Oreochromis niloticus: one gene and its partner. The protein of the gene in region 2 purifies or fractionates together with the protein of the main gene of each other region. This does not show direct contact. Links are inferred from orthologs where the notes say so. Each region holds a gene or a part of one and is shown on either strand. Other genes may lie near its edges.

Region 1 (7,217 bases), on a different chromosome or scaffold from region 2:
AGGTAAAAATTGGGCATTCAGTATAACTTAATCATCTGTGAAGAGCAGGGTATTAAAGTTGCTAGCAGGCACTTTGGCATGTCTGAACCTACAGAAAACACAATCTATTAAATAAACACAGGTAACGATCTCGAGGAGAGGTGACTCGGAGGAGAGCTAATTTAGCAGGGGAGAAAGAGGAGGACACAACACATGTTGTGTCCTGTTTCAACATGTCAGTCTTTGCTGTCATCATGTAACCAAACCGAGGTGACTCCATGTCAGATGAGCCATTTTTAGTTTGTCGCTTACTGTTATTTCCCGCTTGACTCACCTTTATAGTCCTATCAGCAGAGCCTGTGACAAACCACTGATTCCCAGGCTCTACAGCGATGGACCTCACCCAGCCAAGGTGACCGCTGATGACCTACCAGACAAAACAAACTACAGTTAAACAAACACAGAACATATCCCACCCAGACCGCGCCCACTGTATGCGCATCATGTCGAGTAAACTTAGAAAAGTTGAAATGATTGCTAGTTACCCGAAACAGTTTCCATGGTGGATGCCACTGAGGTTTGGGCATTGTGGGCGCTCTCCTCATGAGAGCAGAATTTCTGGTGCCACCTCCCTCCAGGAGCGACTGAAAACACACTGATGATCAGATCTGCACTTCTTTCATTCAAACCGATTAGCCTGAGTAAAAGTACGAATAAACTGTGACCTACCACTGCAGATGACGGAGGGTGAGATCGCTCTGCTCCTCCTGCATGCCGGTGGATGTCAGCAATACTGGCTGCTGTGCGACTCGCGTCCTGCCTACAAATGACCCACAGAGTAAATGATGGTTTATGTGTGAGTAAGCATCATTTTGTTATTAGTGCTTTTTTGCTAAATTGCTACTGGTGACTGACTCCCTTTGTACTGTGTGTGTGTGTGAGGGACAAAGTTTACCTAGCTTGCGATGGGGGTAAAACTAACGCCATGGAGTGTACTCCAGTGTCACTGGGATTCCTGTGCATCTTTGTGTCAGCGGTCAATGCCACCCCTGGTGAGTAAAAAATACTGGTTATAAAGACTCCAATTGGGATGATGAAATTAAAAAGTCACAAATTGAGAGTATTTACCTGGTCCAGATGGGTAGGCATGTGTCCCAGTGATCAGGTATTCTGGGTCCTCACCTGAAACGTAATATTCCCAAAATGTCTTTAAATCATGTAGTTTTGAAATAAAAGGTTTCAGAAAACAAAGAAAAGCTAAATTTAAAGACAAACTGAGCTTTTTAACAGCAAAAAATAACTAATAAAAATCTACATTTCCACATATTTGTTAATAATAAATTGTTGGCACACTTAAGAGTGACTCTGACATGCAGTGACACTTTCATCCTCACCTGGCTGAGCGTAGTTCTGGTGGCCTTCCATGCTGCCCGAAAGATGTGAGGCTCTGTCTTTCCCTTCCTTCAGGATGGGCAGGTGTAACACTGCATCGTAGTCTGCTTTCAGTTTAACCCCCATCTTCAACTTGTGGCTGCAAACAGATGACATAATGATGCATTTTCCTTTATAAACATCTAATATTTATAATCAAATGAGCATAATGATATTCACATGAACAACACAGTAAATACCTTGAACTTTTTACTAGTATTTGAAAGTAGATCTAATTTACTGTCTGGGGTGTAGCAGCAGAGATTTTTCTTTCTTCGAGGAGGAAATTGATAGCGCTTTAACTTCCTAGACAATAGACATTTTGGTAAACTGAAAATAAACTCCTGAAAAAAATTAATGCTCTTTAGTGCTGCAGCTACAAATGCTTCTTTTTTTTGACTGCTCCCTTTAGGGGTCACAACAGCAGAACATCTGCCTCCCTCTCACCTTATTACGAACATCGTCCTGTGTGAAACTCTCTGTATGTCCTCCTTCGTCTTTCTCTCCTGTTTGGCAGCTCAATCTTAAACATCCTTTGTCCAAACCCTCCTTTGCACATGTCCAAACTATCTCAGCTTTGTTTCTCTAACTCTAGACTGTCTTCAAAGTACTCGACCTGAGCTCTCCCTGTAATATACTCATTTTTATCCACCCCAGTCACGCCCAATGAAAAGCTTAACCTCTTCTGCTCTGCCATCACCACCTCCATCCCCTGTTTTTTTGTCATTGCCAATCTCTCCAGCCCTCCTCATTTATCTGGTCTAGCGAGCAACACTAATACAAAGCGCTAGTGCAAAATGATTAAATTAAAACCTCTACAACAATTTCACACGGCATTAGAGCTTGCAATGTGAACCTGAGAAAGTGGTAACTAGTCTTAAATTATAGGAAAATATTTTTTGAAGGTCCACAAAAGGCTAAACGTAAAAAAAAATTAAAAAGAAAATCCAATAACCTGCAGATTTGTGAGATGCTTATTAAAACTGAGACGTTTTCACTGCTCTTCTCTGTACTGGACTACACTGTGCTGCAGTTCACCTGAACTAAATTAACATTAGACTCTGAAAACCCTGTAATTCACCCATAAGCACAACTTCAAATCATTAGAAGGTAACACTGTGCCTTTACCTTTCATCATCCAGCGCGATGGACTTGGCGTGATCAGACACAAACATATCATGAGTCCTTTTAAGAGATCTGAAGACCAGAGTGTGGACTGAGTGCTTCTGAACATCCTGTAGATGATAATAAATAAGAAAACACGTGTTTTAAACTAGTGCAACCACGGAAAACGTTGGGAGTAACTACTTTTTACTATGAGCAATGCAAACAAAACCATAAGCGTATGTGGTTGCAGCAATTAGCCGAGCGGGGCTATGTGTCTGCCGGGCGGGCGGAAACACAAAAAAAAACCCAAAACGGACTTTAAATATCTTCTTACCTCAGTCATTGTGGCGGTAAAAATAAAGTAATGTTATAAAGAAGCGGAAAAATATCCCTTTTTTCAGCAAAACAAAGCACGTTCCCCAAAAAGTATCACGAACGCAAAAACATGACTACCGCGACGCTCCAACGACCGAATACCCCGGAAGTAAAGAGGTAAAAGGACAGCTAGCAGTTTGTTAGCGCCACCTATAGGCCAGGAGGGAAATTGAAATACAATTTTAAAAAGCCAAATCTTTAACCTCTACTCGTCCGAATCGCTTTATAAATGCATAAAGCGAGGACACAGTATCTCCTTCTTTTCTTGACACTAATACTACTACTATTACTACTACTAATAATTAGTGCTCTCCAAGTTGCTTTAATCAGTTCAGTCTGCGCTTTGCCGTTCCTTTCTTTCTTACCACTCCTGCTAATTTTAGAAATAATGCCCTCTGTGGCACTATTTCCAGTGCTTTTGCCACATTTTTTTTTGCTTTTGCACTTACTGCAAAAACAAGGTCCAACACCAAAAACAGGTCCGCCACCAATCGGAAGGTCGGTGGTTCGATCCCAGGCTGCCTCCCGGCTGCATGCCAAATATCCTTGGGCAAGCTACTAACCCCATGTTTGCCTATTGGTGGTGGTCAGAGGGCCCGGTGGCGCCAGTGTCCGGCAGCCTCGCCTCTGTCAGTGCGCCCCAGGGCAGCTGTGGCTACAATGTAGCTTGCCATCACCAGTGTGTGAATGTGGGTGTGAATGGGTGAATGACTGAATGTAGTGTAAAGCGCTTTGGGGTCCTTAGGGCTAAGTAAAGCGCTATACAAATGCAGGCCTTTTTTTTTTTTTTTTTTTTTTTAAAGTTTATCATTAATAGTTGCTTGTTCTGGAGCAGCACTGTGGTGTGATTAACATTGTTGCTTTACAGCCAGAAGATCCAACGATTAAATCCACCTGTGTCCAGCCGTTTCCTTTCACAGTCCAGAAGAAAAAAGAAAAAAGAAGCATGGATTTAACAGTGATTCTAAATTTCAAGAATGTCTGTCTGTTCAGTGTGTACTGCCTCTTGCCCCATAGAACAGGCTGTGTGACTCTGAACTGGACAAATGGTTCTGTCTGTTTTCTCCTGATCACCTTAACTGCTTATTTCTGGACTAACTAACCTCTAGCTGGTGAATAGTAGCTCATAATATACCAGGTCTTGGTGATTCCCAGAGGGTCCTATTTTAATGGATGGCAATGGCCACCAAATTATTATTGTGTTTAATGCTCTAGTCCTCGCCTAGTTAGCAGTGAGCTGTTTCTTATGGAGTCAAAGTGACATTTCTCCAGCTTTCACTCGGAATGTGTAAGCTGGACCTGTTTTCGCTGGACCTGTTTTCACTGTCCCTAATGACATCCTCAGTGTAAGAGCCTGAACAAATCCACATTTAAATAAAGCAACATTGGTTCTATGCCACACAATCATAAAGATTACTGAGATCAGGGCTGCATGTATATTTCAACAACACTTTTCTTCATCTGTTTCCTGATTTCCTGATTTGGTGTTTGAGATTTGGTGGGAGGACAGGCCCAAATTTGGTTTTGCTTCCTTCTGTACCAGATCATGTTTGCCCAGCAGAGTACATCTATTAATGGTTATCCATTTCGAATTTGAACCTAAATGGTGCAGTGTGTGTGTGTGTGTTGCGTTATTGTGGCAGAGTAAATTTATATCAGTGTTTTTCAAAAATGTCTGAGGCCAATTTAATTAAAACAAACAAACAAACTGGCTTTTGAAAGAGTCAGTGGGTGTACTAACATAATGCTATCCTGTTAAGAAGCTTTAGAAATCCACGCATTGTTCGGCAAAATCACACGCCAAGAGCTGGGCAGAATTTGGACTCTGACAGAGATTATCGATGTGAGTCTGATGATGCACGGGGACAAGTACTACAAGTTCAATGCAAAGTAAATAAACTGTGTTAGTGTGGCTCAAAATAAACAATTCAACTGAGATGCTCTGAAAGCTCTGCAACAATGTGACAAAATGGTTTTCTGTCCTCAAAGATTTAACGTCACAGTTTGTTCAGTTAGACATTTTTTTTAAAAGATAGTTTATCTGGGCGACCACAGGAAAAGAAGATCATATTTATTAAAAGTCAAAATTGCTGCAAACTAAAATCTAAAAGTCATAATGAGCAGTCTTGAGATTTTGATGTGAAAACTGTAATAAAATGACTAAAAGACTGATTATCCAAAGCAAATTATTATAATCAGTTAATAAAACAAAAGTCAGGGGCCATTGATGGTTTCAAGAATATCTTTACTAAGCTGCTACATTCAGAATCTGGTACAACAACTCTGAGTTACTGTAACTGGAGAGTAATCTAGTTACATTATGGCCACCCTTATGTTTGAAGATGGTGCTTGTTATGGACAAACTGTGGTTTGCACCAGTAACAAGTCCAGTAACAAAACACCACTTGGGTTCAGATCTGGCCCAGTCATACCCCTCCAGGTCTCACTGTTGTTGCCCACATGAGTGATAAAGTTTCCCAGTAAGACGACAGAGTCACCAGGTGGGGGACTCAAGTGGTCCCCCTCAAGCACCCCACCCAGGTAATCAAAGAAACTGGGTACTCTGGACTGACACTCAGGACCTGTTTCCTGACCCGAACAAACCCTGCCATCTATGTTGGAAAACTCCACCCCCTCTCCAGGAAACTCGTTCTAGAGTCCAAGATGTGGACTCTCGACCTCTCGACCTTATGCACTAGCTCAGGCTCCTTCCCCACCACAGAGGTGATGTTCCATGCCCCAGTCGCTAGTCTTGGTAGTCCGTGATCGGTCTGCCAGGGTCTCTGCCCCTGAGCGCAGCCCAGCACACACTGCACCGACCCCTATGACAAATCCTGAGGGTGGTGGGCCTACAGGAGGGTGGGCCCACGCCCCTTTTTTGGGCTGTGCTCAGCCAGGCCCCATGCACTAAAGCCCGGCCACCAGGTGTTCGGCCTCGGTCATCCTCCCTGGGCCTGGCTCCAGAGCAGGGCCCCAGTAACCCTATATCAGGCAGGGTGAACTGCTCCCTGGATCATCTTTTCATAGGGGTTTTTGAATAGGTCTTTGTCAGATCCTTCACCCAGGACAGATTTGACATGGGAGATCATAGCAGGGGGCAAAAGCCCACCAATAACATAGCCCCTGGGATTCCTGGGATACACAAACCCCTCCACCACAATAAGCTAGTGATTCATTGAAGGTATACAATGTGTCATTTTCAAGATTTGATATGTTTTCTATGCTCTGCTGTGAAAATCTTATAGGTATATGAGATTTGCACACTATTGCTTTTTTTCTTTTTTTAGAATTGAGAGTGTAGCAAGGAAATGAGGAAAAAGGGACTCAGGTATTCTGCAAACAGAAAAATACAAAAACAAAAAAATAGAAACTTTTCCATGATGGCATTTTTCAGAGCTATTAGTGAGAGCATTAAAAAAAATTGTCTCTTTTAAGCGTCTCCAAGTCCACCAAACTGTTTGACTCCAGCCTGCTGTCCTCCTGCTGTGATGCGACTGAGGGGAATGAGCTTCATGGTGGTCTCTTTCAGGGAGTACCAGCGGTTGTGCCACGTGACCCAAATGATGCCGTTGTCGAAGCCAAATTCACCAGCATCCTTTTCAGTGTACCTGCCACCTGCATAAAGATAATGCAAACAGTTTAGACCTCACATTAATTAGTACTTTTGTCTCTGTCACAGAATCATGGATCTAAAGTTAGGTTTTGGTAACAACTGTTGAGTCATTTTTTTTCTTCCTCTAAGGTAACCTCGCTACTAGAGCGGACATGTTTGCCTTGTCCATAAGTGCATTCTTACATAATCTGTTATCGTGTGTGTGTGTGTGTACCTTTTGTTGCCCTCCCAGTCAACAAGCTCTATCCTGAGCACAATTGGGACGTTAGAGCTAGTAGTGAACAGGTAAACCCTCTCATTGCTTAACCAGAATTCTGTGGTGAGAGATAACCGAAGCCCTGCTTGTACTGGACCCAGTTCTTGTGGAAGTCCAGACTGCCATCACGTCTCTGTAGGCAGTGATCAGAGACAAAAAGCATTTGTTAAATCCTAAAAGATTTTTGATCTAAAATTGACGACAGAGGGAATTTATGAAAAATTATTATCGAAGATTAGAAAACAAATGATTTTACACCTGGGACAGGCTCCAGCGACAGGCGATCCATTTTGATGTGTGGTTAAGGTGATGTATTCCCTTTGTATTACTGTGGACGTCAATCTCACAATAGGTCAGGAACTGCTCTGTTTCTTGGTTTTACATAGTAAAGACCACTTTTGGTGGCTCTCTTATTTGCTCTGTCTTGGCAGTGTAAGGAAAACCAAAAATAAAAAA
Region 2 (7,995 bases):
ACAGAATGAAAGATTGATTCAGTGTACCGGTGAGCACTTTGTTGGTGTCTGAGGGACACAGATCCAGAGACAGAATACCAGGCACACTGGCACTATGAAGACCCTGAAGGCAACATAGGAGAGAACGGTGATAAATTGGATTGCTCGGTGAAACAGATGCATCCTCGTGATCCTGCATAATCAATACTTACAGCATGAGAGGCCACTTGGCGGTATTTGCCGAGATCCTCGGCTCTAACCAGATCCTCTGGGACAGTTTTGCCTCTCTGTAGAGAACCACAGTAAAGCAATTAAATGAGAGCGAGGGTAAATTATGCACAAACAGAGCTTGTGGCAAAATAAGTAAAACAAGTGTTTGCACATTAGCAGCTAAATAAAAGAGAAATTTAATACCTTCTTTCTCTCTGTAGTGAGGATAGTAGCCTTGTCTTGGAGCTGCAAATAGAAAAAAAACATTTAAAAACATCAAGCTCAAGAAAAGCACTTTATAACCAAAGAAATTATTACAAACGGTCATAATGGTAAAAAAGTAATCAATCAAAAAAAATATATCAATATTACCTTCTGGATGATTTCTGGAGTCATTCCCACTTGTTCACTAATCTCCATAGGCTCTCCACCAGCACCCTGGTGTAAAAAAAAGGCAGAATTAAATATTTTTTAAAGGCATGATGTGACAGTCTGATCGTTGTCTTATCAGCTGAAACTAAAGCCCAGCTACTCACTGCTGCAGCTGGCTGAGAGGCGGGCACTGCCTGAGGGGCAACCAATCCGGCCTGGGGTTTGAGCGTAGCAAGAGCTGTGGAAAGAAGAAATCGACTCATTAAAATAAATAAAATACACACACAATATCAATGAATCCAGGTTCATTTGGACCCGATGATCACATTAAAGCCATTTCTACACGTTTCATAACTGTGCGGACACCCAAACTGCTGTCAACCCACCTTCTCTTGCAGCTGTGACCTCTTTGGTGAGTCGAGCGATGACTCTGCAGGCGGCATCGTGCTGATAGAGGGCGTGTGAAAGTTCTTGGCGAGTAGTCTGCAGCTGCTGCCGCAAGGTGAAGCTATGAAGCATTACAGCATCCTAGAACAGAAATGAAAAGTGAGAAAGGAGCACAAACAGACACAAATTGACATGTTTTAATTACTTTGGTTCTACCAGCATTTTGCAGTCAAGATTTAAAAAACAAAAACAAAAACAAAAAATCCCACCATATACTGGTTTGTTTGAAATATATCTTAAGAAAATTTATTAAACTCACTGGAATATAACTTTACACCCATGTGTTTAAATTAAATAAGGAAGATAACAAGATGGAACTCGCTTTTTTGGTCTCAGCTAAAGAATTAAAGTTATTTAAATGAATGTACCAAACAAACATTTTTCATGAATTCAAACTAATTCAAAAGACCCAAGGTTTGTCACAAAACTTTGCAATTCAAGAAAGAAAAGGGGCCAATCTTCTATTAGATTCTTTTTTTGCAGCACAGATTAGATCAAAAATATGCTGTTGTAACCCATCATATAAATGCACAATTAGAAAAAACAAACAAACAAAAAACAAAAATTCAAAACAAGAGTCCTGTTGTTAAAAACTACTGGAGAGGGATAAATGGTTGCCTGTAACACACTTTTAATTGTTAAACTATCCAACACCCTACAGATCTGATTTGAGTTCTACACATTTATAACTAATTTATGTTGATTAGTAGCTGACTCCCTACTTGTTTAAAATGTTCCTAAATGTTGTGTGTATTTGTAATGTGTTGTTGATGTAGTGTTAAACATTAATAAGAAAAATCAATTTAAAAACAAAATGATACATACAATAGATACAGTATAAAGTGCTCTGTTCTTTGCTATCTCAGAGTTTACAGGACTTACCCATTCATCTTGAAGGGACTTGAGAATGGCAGGAATACTGGTTGCCGATGGTGCCTTTGGTCTAATAGGATGAGCCACTAAAAGACAGGAAACCTCTTCAGTAATTCATCGAGGCTTATTTGCAATGAGATTTGAGTATTTAAGGGCATATGCCACACTGATTTTCTTTTCATATATAAATCTAGATCATTTCCTATGGTTCTATGAATATCACAAAGAATAGCTCATGAGCACCTATCCAACTTCACAAAGTCTCACCCTTGAAGGCCACACGATTAAAACTAAAACTTATTTAACAAACAGCAAATGAGATAAATCGGTTTTTGATGATGAATATAATATTCTACTTTTGTGTAAGTTCTTTTAAAAAAAGTTTATTTGTTTGGGAGGTTTTATTTTTCGCTTCACCTGAATTCTTCAGGATTTGTTTTATATGATTCATAAGATACAATACAATGCAACACGTCTGCAAACTTCAGCCTACGAAACCAAAGCCGAGCATCATTCCACTGATAACGACCTCTCTGACGGAAGTAGCATTACTCTGCATGAACTTTATTAAGGTCTACTGCCTCTTAGAAAACACCCAGAAACCCACCTTTGATGTCTACGAGCTGCTCCTCGGACAGCGGCTGTCCGTTCATCGGGTCCGTCCCATTCTCTGCGATGTACTTCTCGATCAGCCTGCGCTCAAACACCTGGTTGGACACCGGAGAGACGCACGGGTGCTCTGGCACTTCGTTGGAAACTGTAATAGAGTTCAGTTCCGGCTTTTTTAACAACACATAACTCCCAGCAATTTAAAAAAAACACACACAATTAAAAAAGAGAGATCGATGAACTATATCAAAGCAGAAGGCGGTACTGCATGGCCGCTAACGCTAGCTAAATCAGCTAGCAGCATTAGCGCGGTACCGAGCTAACCGGCCTCCGTCATATCAATGAATTCAGCTTCACCTACTTGCACAAACCAAAGCCATGTTCCAGGCGGAGTCCTAAAAGTCTCGTGTTAAATGTGATTTATGCTCGCGCTGTACTTTAAAGTTGTTGCAGCTAAGGTAGACTTTACTTCTGTTTGGAAGTAGCACGCTGTCCTTTCATTGCCGCTACAACGAACACTCTTCTTCTACGCTTTGAGTTAGCTTCAATGTCCCAAACTCTGCCACCTACCGTCACTGCGCCGAGGAGAACATTTGACCACTTTCCAGCTTCCTAAATATATGTGTATCTATCTATCTATATATATATATATATATATATATATATATATATATATATATATATATATATATATACACACACACACACACACATATATATATATATGTATACACACACGCATAGGTGGAAAGTGGTCAATCGTTAGTTTATTGATTATTGCTTTATTGATCAGGTACAAGGAGTTTTTGCACTCAGTGTACATAACAGAGTAGCCAACAGACAGACAGAGAAACAACATGACACCAACACGGCACAGACAATAATACATTTATAGCGTACTCATAGAGCAAAGTTGCAGAGTGCAAATCTGTTGGAATAAATAAGAGCTGGACAGCTAGTTATTATATATACAGTATACACATGAGGATTGACTATAAATATATATATATAGCATATAGGTATGTACAACAGGACAAAACAGTATATACTGCATGCTTTGATTCAGCAGCAGGTTTGGTGGATTTTTTAAATACAGAGACCATGTGAGTGTCCTAAATGTTTATCAGAGTGATGGCCTGTGGAAAGGAACTGTACAGATGGCTGCTTGTTTGGGCATACAGTGCTCTGTAGCGCCTACCAGAGGATATGCAGTGATATTGCCTGATTGTGCCCTGACTCTACATTTGTATTTCCTGCAGAATTCACTGTCCATTGTAGTCTGTTCTTGTCCTGCAAACAATACCATGATGAGTGAGCAGAGAACAGACTGGATTAATGCAGAGTCGAATGGATCAACACCTCCTGAGGCAGGTTGAACTTCCTGAGCTGGTGCAGGCCTCTGCTCGGCCTTTTTGATGATAGTGTCTATACTGAGTGACCACTTCAGATCTTGGAACATTGTGGCAAGCGGGGATAATGGAGAGTGACTCCTCCTCAACTGCACTGTTACTGCTACAGTTTGAGCGTATTCAGCTCTAGGCTGATCTGACTACACAACAGGGCCAGCTGTTCAACCCCACATCTGTGTCCTTGATAAGACCAATGACCGTCATCAAAAATCACAATTTTGACTGACAGGTTTTTAGAGAAACAGCCACTTGCATGGAGGGAGAAGAGCAAAGCAAAAAGGACACACCCCTGGGTGGCGAACATACATACAGTGTAAAGATGACATCATCTAAAATGTGTTTGTTAAAGACACTTTTTTTATTTTTTGAGTGATGACATTATGACATTGTGAAAATATTACAAGCTTTGGGGATAAAAAGTTATCCTGCACACAAAATTCACAGATTAATTGCAGTATTTGGTGAAACATGTCACATAACTATTATAACTAGAATTACCCCCAAAGATTTAATACACTGCATAAATCGTTAGAAATGCAGACAAGCTATTTAGAATAATAATTACATATGGACAACATGATGGGTGAGAACTTAAGTCAATATTGCTGTACAGTATTTAAAAATGAGCTTTTTCAAACGTTACCACAACAACTGGTGGGTAGCCCTAGAGACCGTCTTAAACACAGGAGCAGTGCAGATCATATTGGTCCTGAGGGTCCGGAGGTAGGTAACGGCAGGAGATTTCAGGAGCACCATCAGGCAGTGCAATATGAGACAGGAAGGATTATGCTCAACTCATGCTTCAGAAAAATTACAAAGCAAACTATTAAAACCGTGCATAAGGCACAGGCAAGGTTTTTCTTCTCTGTCAGGAGCATAACTTCACCGTTTGTGTGATTTCTCCATGCTGAATAATCCTTCTTCCCTTATCTCCGATCCAGTTCTCTGTTTTATGAAAAGTTCAGATTCTTTGACGTGTAAACACTGAAGGATTCAGAGGTGTCCGTGTCTAGTGGCAGCGTGGAAAAGAAGTCTTGGGATTTGTTCCCCCTTCCCTTATCTCCGTCCTTTTTGATTTGGAACTGAACGCAGTCCTCGGATGAGTGGAGGCAGTCTGAAGCTCCGGGCACAGGGAAGGAAATCCTGTCCTCTTCCTCATTAGATTTAGCCTCCTAACAAGGGATGAAGACACAAGTTTAAGCAAATATCGTATTAATCCGTGGCATCTAAATATTCACAGCTGGAGAGCTGTATTACCTCAACAGTTAAGTTATTACTAGGAGAACTCCCAGCTGTCGCCCTGTGGGCATCCTGGTTCTCAGCTCTCGGAGACCCTACCATTACCGGAGCATAACCCTGGAAATACAAACAACAACAGATATGAACACAGACACAATTCAATTGAATGATTTTAGCTCCCTTAAAAAAAACAAAACAGATTATATTAGTTAGTCCGTCTTACAGTGTGAACAGGACTGGCTCTTGGGGTCCATTTTCTTGTTGTTTCAGGCTGCTGAGAGTAGCTGTAGTGGCCTGAGGGCTGAGGAGAGGGGTGACTGTAGTGCTGCAAGAAAAACACACAAACATAAATAAACCAGTAACGATAATGACCTAGGAACTCATCCGGCTCACAGACCATCACAATTCACCGGTTACTGCTCGTAAAAACAATAAATGTGACCTTGAGTGATCACTGTGTCCAAGGTTCTTGTGGATTGCGGAGGGACAGCCAGATGACATATGTCTCGCCATGGCATGAAGGCATGGCAAGGCTCAAATAGAGATTAAAAAGAAAGGCTGAAACAGCTAGCCCTATTTATGTAACCGTCTGCTGCTCTCCTTTCACGTTTCATGTTTTGGAGAGTCAAAGCGTGAAATGGGCATCGTGGACCGGTGTGTCTGTTAAACGTTTCGCCGGGATATCAGGTTGCTCCTTGCTAGTGATGTGTGTGGCATCATCACGCTGACATCTACAGAGCTTCAGTCAAATTACTTTGGACAGAATATATAAAAATATCTACGAAGTATCTGAAATAAAACATACCCACTGAATAAAGAGCTTCTACCATAAGTTTTTTTTCTCCGTACTTCTTAAAGATACTTCAGCCCATCAGACTGTCTGGTGCAAAAGAGAAATGTCCAATAACGTTAACATGTGACTCATGGAGGTGTCAAAGTGCATGCATCTGCAATATGATTGACTTGACGGCTTGTATTTATTTATTTGGCTGTAGACTCTCCTTCATATCAAAGAGTGAGGCCATCTGTTTCATCAGGGTGAAGAGTGCATCACCCTAATAAATCCACCAAGAAATGGCTGGATGAGAAGAAATGGAGTACAGCAGTATGGCGTAGGAAACAATATATAAATTGAACTGTTGTGGGTGGATTCTAACTTCTTGCACTGGGTGGAAAATTTGTCATTTCTGCTAGAGGTTGGAGCAGTGACTTCTTCAGAAAAAGCTCACTTTCCTGTGACTCTGTTCAGCTATAGCACCCTTATCTGCAGGAACTGCTTCAAGAAGATCAAATGGCTTCAAAGACAATATTTCCTTGTCCAAATATATATATATGTAAAAGGAAGTCAGTATGATGTTTTTTCCTGGTTTCCTCACCTGGATGTTGACCCTCGGGGGGTTGGCTGGCGGCGTGCGGTGTGTTCTAAAGCAGGTGATGATCTGGGAGAGGCTACAGTTTGGGTAGCGTTTCATGAACAGGATGAAACCAGCCAGGGACACGAACATGCCAGAAGGGACAGTGACGGACTTGAGGAGTGCTCGCCAACTCCCTCCCCTTTTGTCTGGGAAGATAGCAGATAGCATTTTAGGAGGAGGAGTGGCAACTGTGGATCAAACAACTTCTGACTGATGCATGCTTCCAAAAACATCGCACAATACCCACCGATCACGTGCAAGTAGGTGGAGGATACCAGGTTGCCATTCCTGTCTTTGACTTCATACAGCCCATCATGCCTTGAGGTCAGCCTTGCAATGACCACCTCGTAGATGGAGCCGTTCCTACTCAGTGAGATGATACCCCTGTAGCGCAGGTCATGGTCCGTTATCTGCCCCTCACGGATGAGCTGCACAGGGCCACGCGGGGGTTTGGGGTCAAAGGGGCCCAGGGAGGATTCATCAGGAAATTGGCCAGGGGTAAAAATGAGATGGGCATGAGGAAGAGGAAGAAATAGAGGCAGGATTATGGACTCTTTGGTAAAGCGTGTGATGTTGAAGGAATGCCCTGCATCCATCCATGTGTAAAATCATGAAAAATGGAGTAGTGGTGAATGTGGAAGTATGAGAGGGCATCAGATAGAAAGGGAAAGATACGACAAAACCATTAGCACTGTAAAGTCACAAAGTTAAAGGTAGTCAGTCAGCTTCTTAAAACCCACATGTTTCTGCTCTGCTCACCACGGACGGTGAGGGTGCTGCGACCCAGCACCTTCCCGTTGTCGTCTCTCATGGTGTAGTTGCCTTGGTCTGCTTGCGTCACTCTCTCCGCCACCCAGACCTTCCCCCCTCTTAGTAGCCGCCCCCGGCCAGCGTCACCGGTTTCGGGGTCTGTCCGGTTCCAAAGCACAACCGGCACAGCCTCAGGCGGAGCGCCCCGGTGAGAGAACTCCAACAGGGAGCCATTTTCGGGGATGCTGTGCTCAAAGGTCTCCCCATAGTTTCTGCGGTAGGGTTTAATGCATTCTGAAGGAAGACGAAGAACCACGAGATAAGTGAAAGACAGAAAGAGAACAAGTTTATTTAAGTACAATTTTAAAATGCAAAAGTTACTTTCTTTTTAACTGAACTGGTGAAAATTAAAGTGATATTGCAAAAGACCCACTCCTAACACACATCAGTATACTGCCAGGTAAAGTACTGCCACACCTGCTGTGCATTCATACCAATTAACCTCTCCTCTTTTTACGCAGCAGGGGTGTAGCTGGTAAATGTTATATGCACACACACACAAACACACCTGAAACAGAGTCAGAATAGTTGTTACAACTTCTCTGCTTTAAAGCAATGAATACATTGCCTATATGGCATCAAAGCATACAAAGTCAAAGTCAAAGTCAAAGTCAACTTTATTTGTCAATTCT

Evidence for each region. The genes of interacting proteins can lie anywhere in the genome.
Region 1: the proteins of prpf19 (region 2) and plrg1 purify together in Homo sapiens (affinity purification with mass spectrometry; 8 studies listed by BioGRID and IntAct, counting the BioPlex papers as one, with this or other methods). This does not show direct contact. The link is inferred for Oreochromis niloticus from reciprocal best matches to the Homo sapiens genes PRPF19 and PLRG1.

The regions. Positions count from the first base shown.
Region 1 is NC_031971.2:14,044,240-14,051,456, forward strand, and holds the start of plrg1 (pleiotropic regulator 1), read right to left. Parts: upstream 3,012-7,217; 5' UTR 2,861-3,011; coding exon 2,852-2,860; intron 2,646-2,851; coding exon 2,539-2,645; intron 1,511-2,538; coding exon 1,374-1,510; intron 1,162-1,373; coding exon 1,108-1,161; intron 1,029-1,107; coding exon 935-1,028; intron 800-934; coding exon 709-799; intron 624-708; coding exon 525-623; intron 407-524; coding exon 314-406; intron 1-313. UniProt on the Homo sapiens protein: Involved in pre-mRNA splicing as component of the spliceosome. Component of the PRP19-CDC5L complex that forms an integral part of the spliceosome and is required for activating pre-mRNA splicing.
Region 2 is NC_031966.2:24,428,206-24,436,200, forward strand, and holds the start of prpf19 (pre-mRNA-processing factor 19), read right to left. Parts: upstream 3,053-7,995; 5' UTR 2,871-3,052; coding exon 2,852-2,870; intron 2,639-2,851; coding exon 2,489-2,638; intron 1,968-2,488; coding exon 1,891-1,967; intron 1,090-1,890; coding exon 948-1,089; intron 800-947; coding exon 726-799; intron 628-725; coding exon 562-627; intron 436-561; coding exon 394-435; intron 267-393; coding exon 192-266; intron 104-191; coding exon 28-103; intron 1-27. Other genes in the region: uncharacterized protein LOC102080103, read right to left, coding at 4,850-5,071, 5,157-5,255, 5,362-5,463, 6,515-6,699, 6,801-7,139, 7,313-7,597. UniProt on the Homo sapiens protein: Ubiquitin-protein ligase which is a core component of several complexes mainly involved pre-mRNA splicing and DNA repair. Required for pre-mRNA splicing as component of the spliceosome.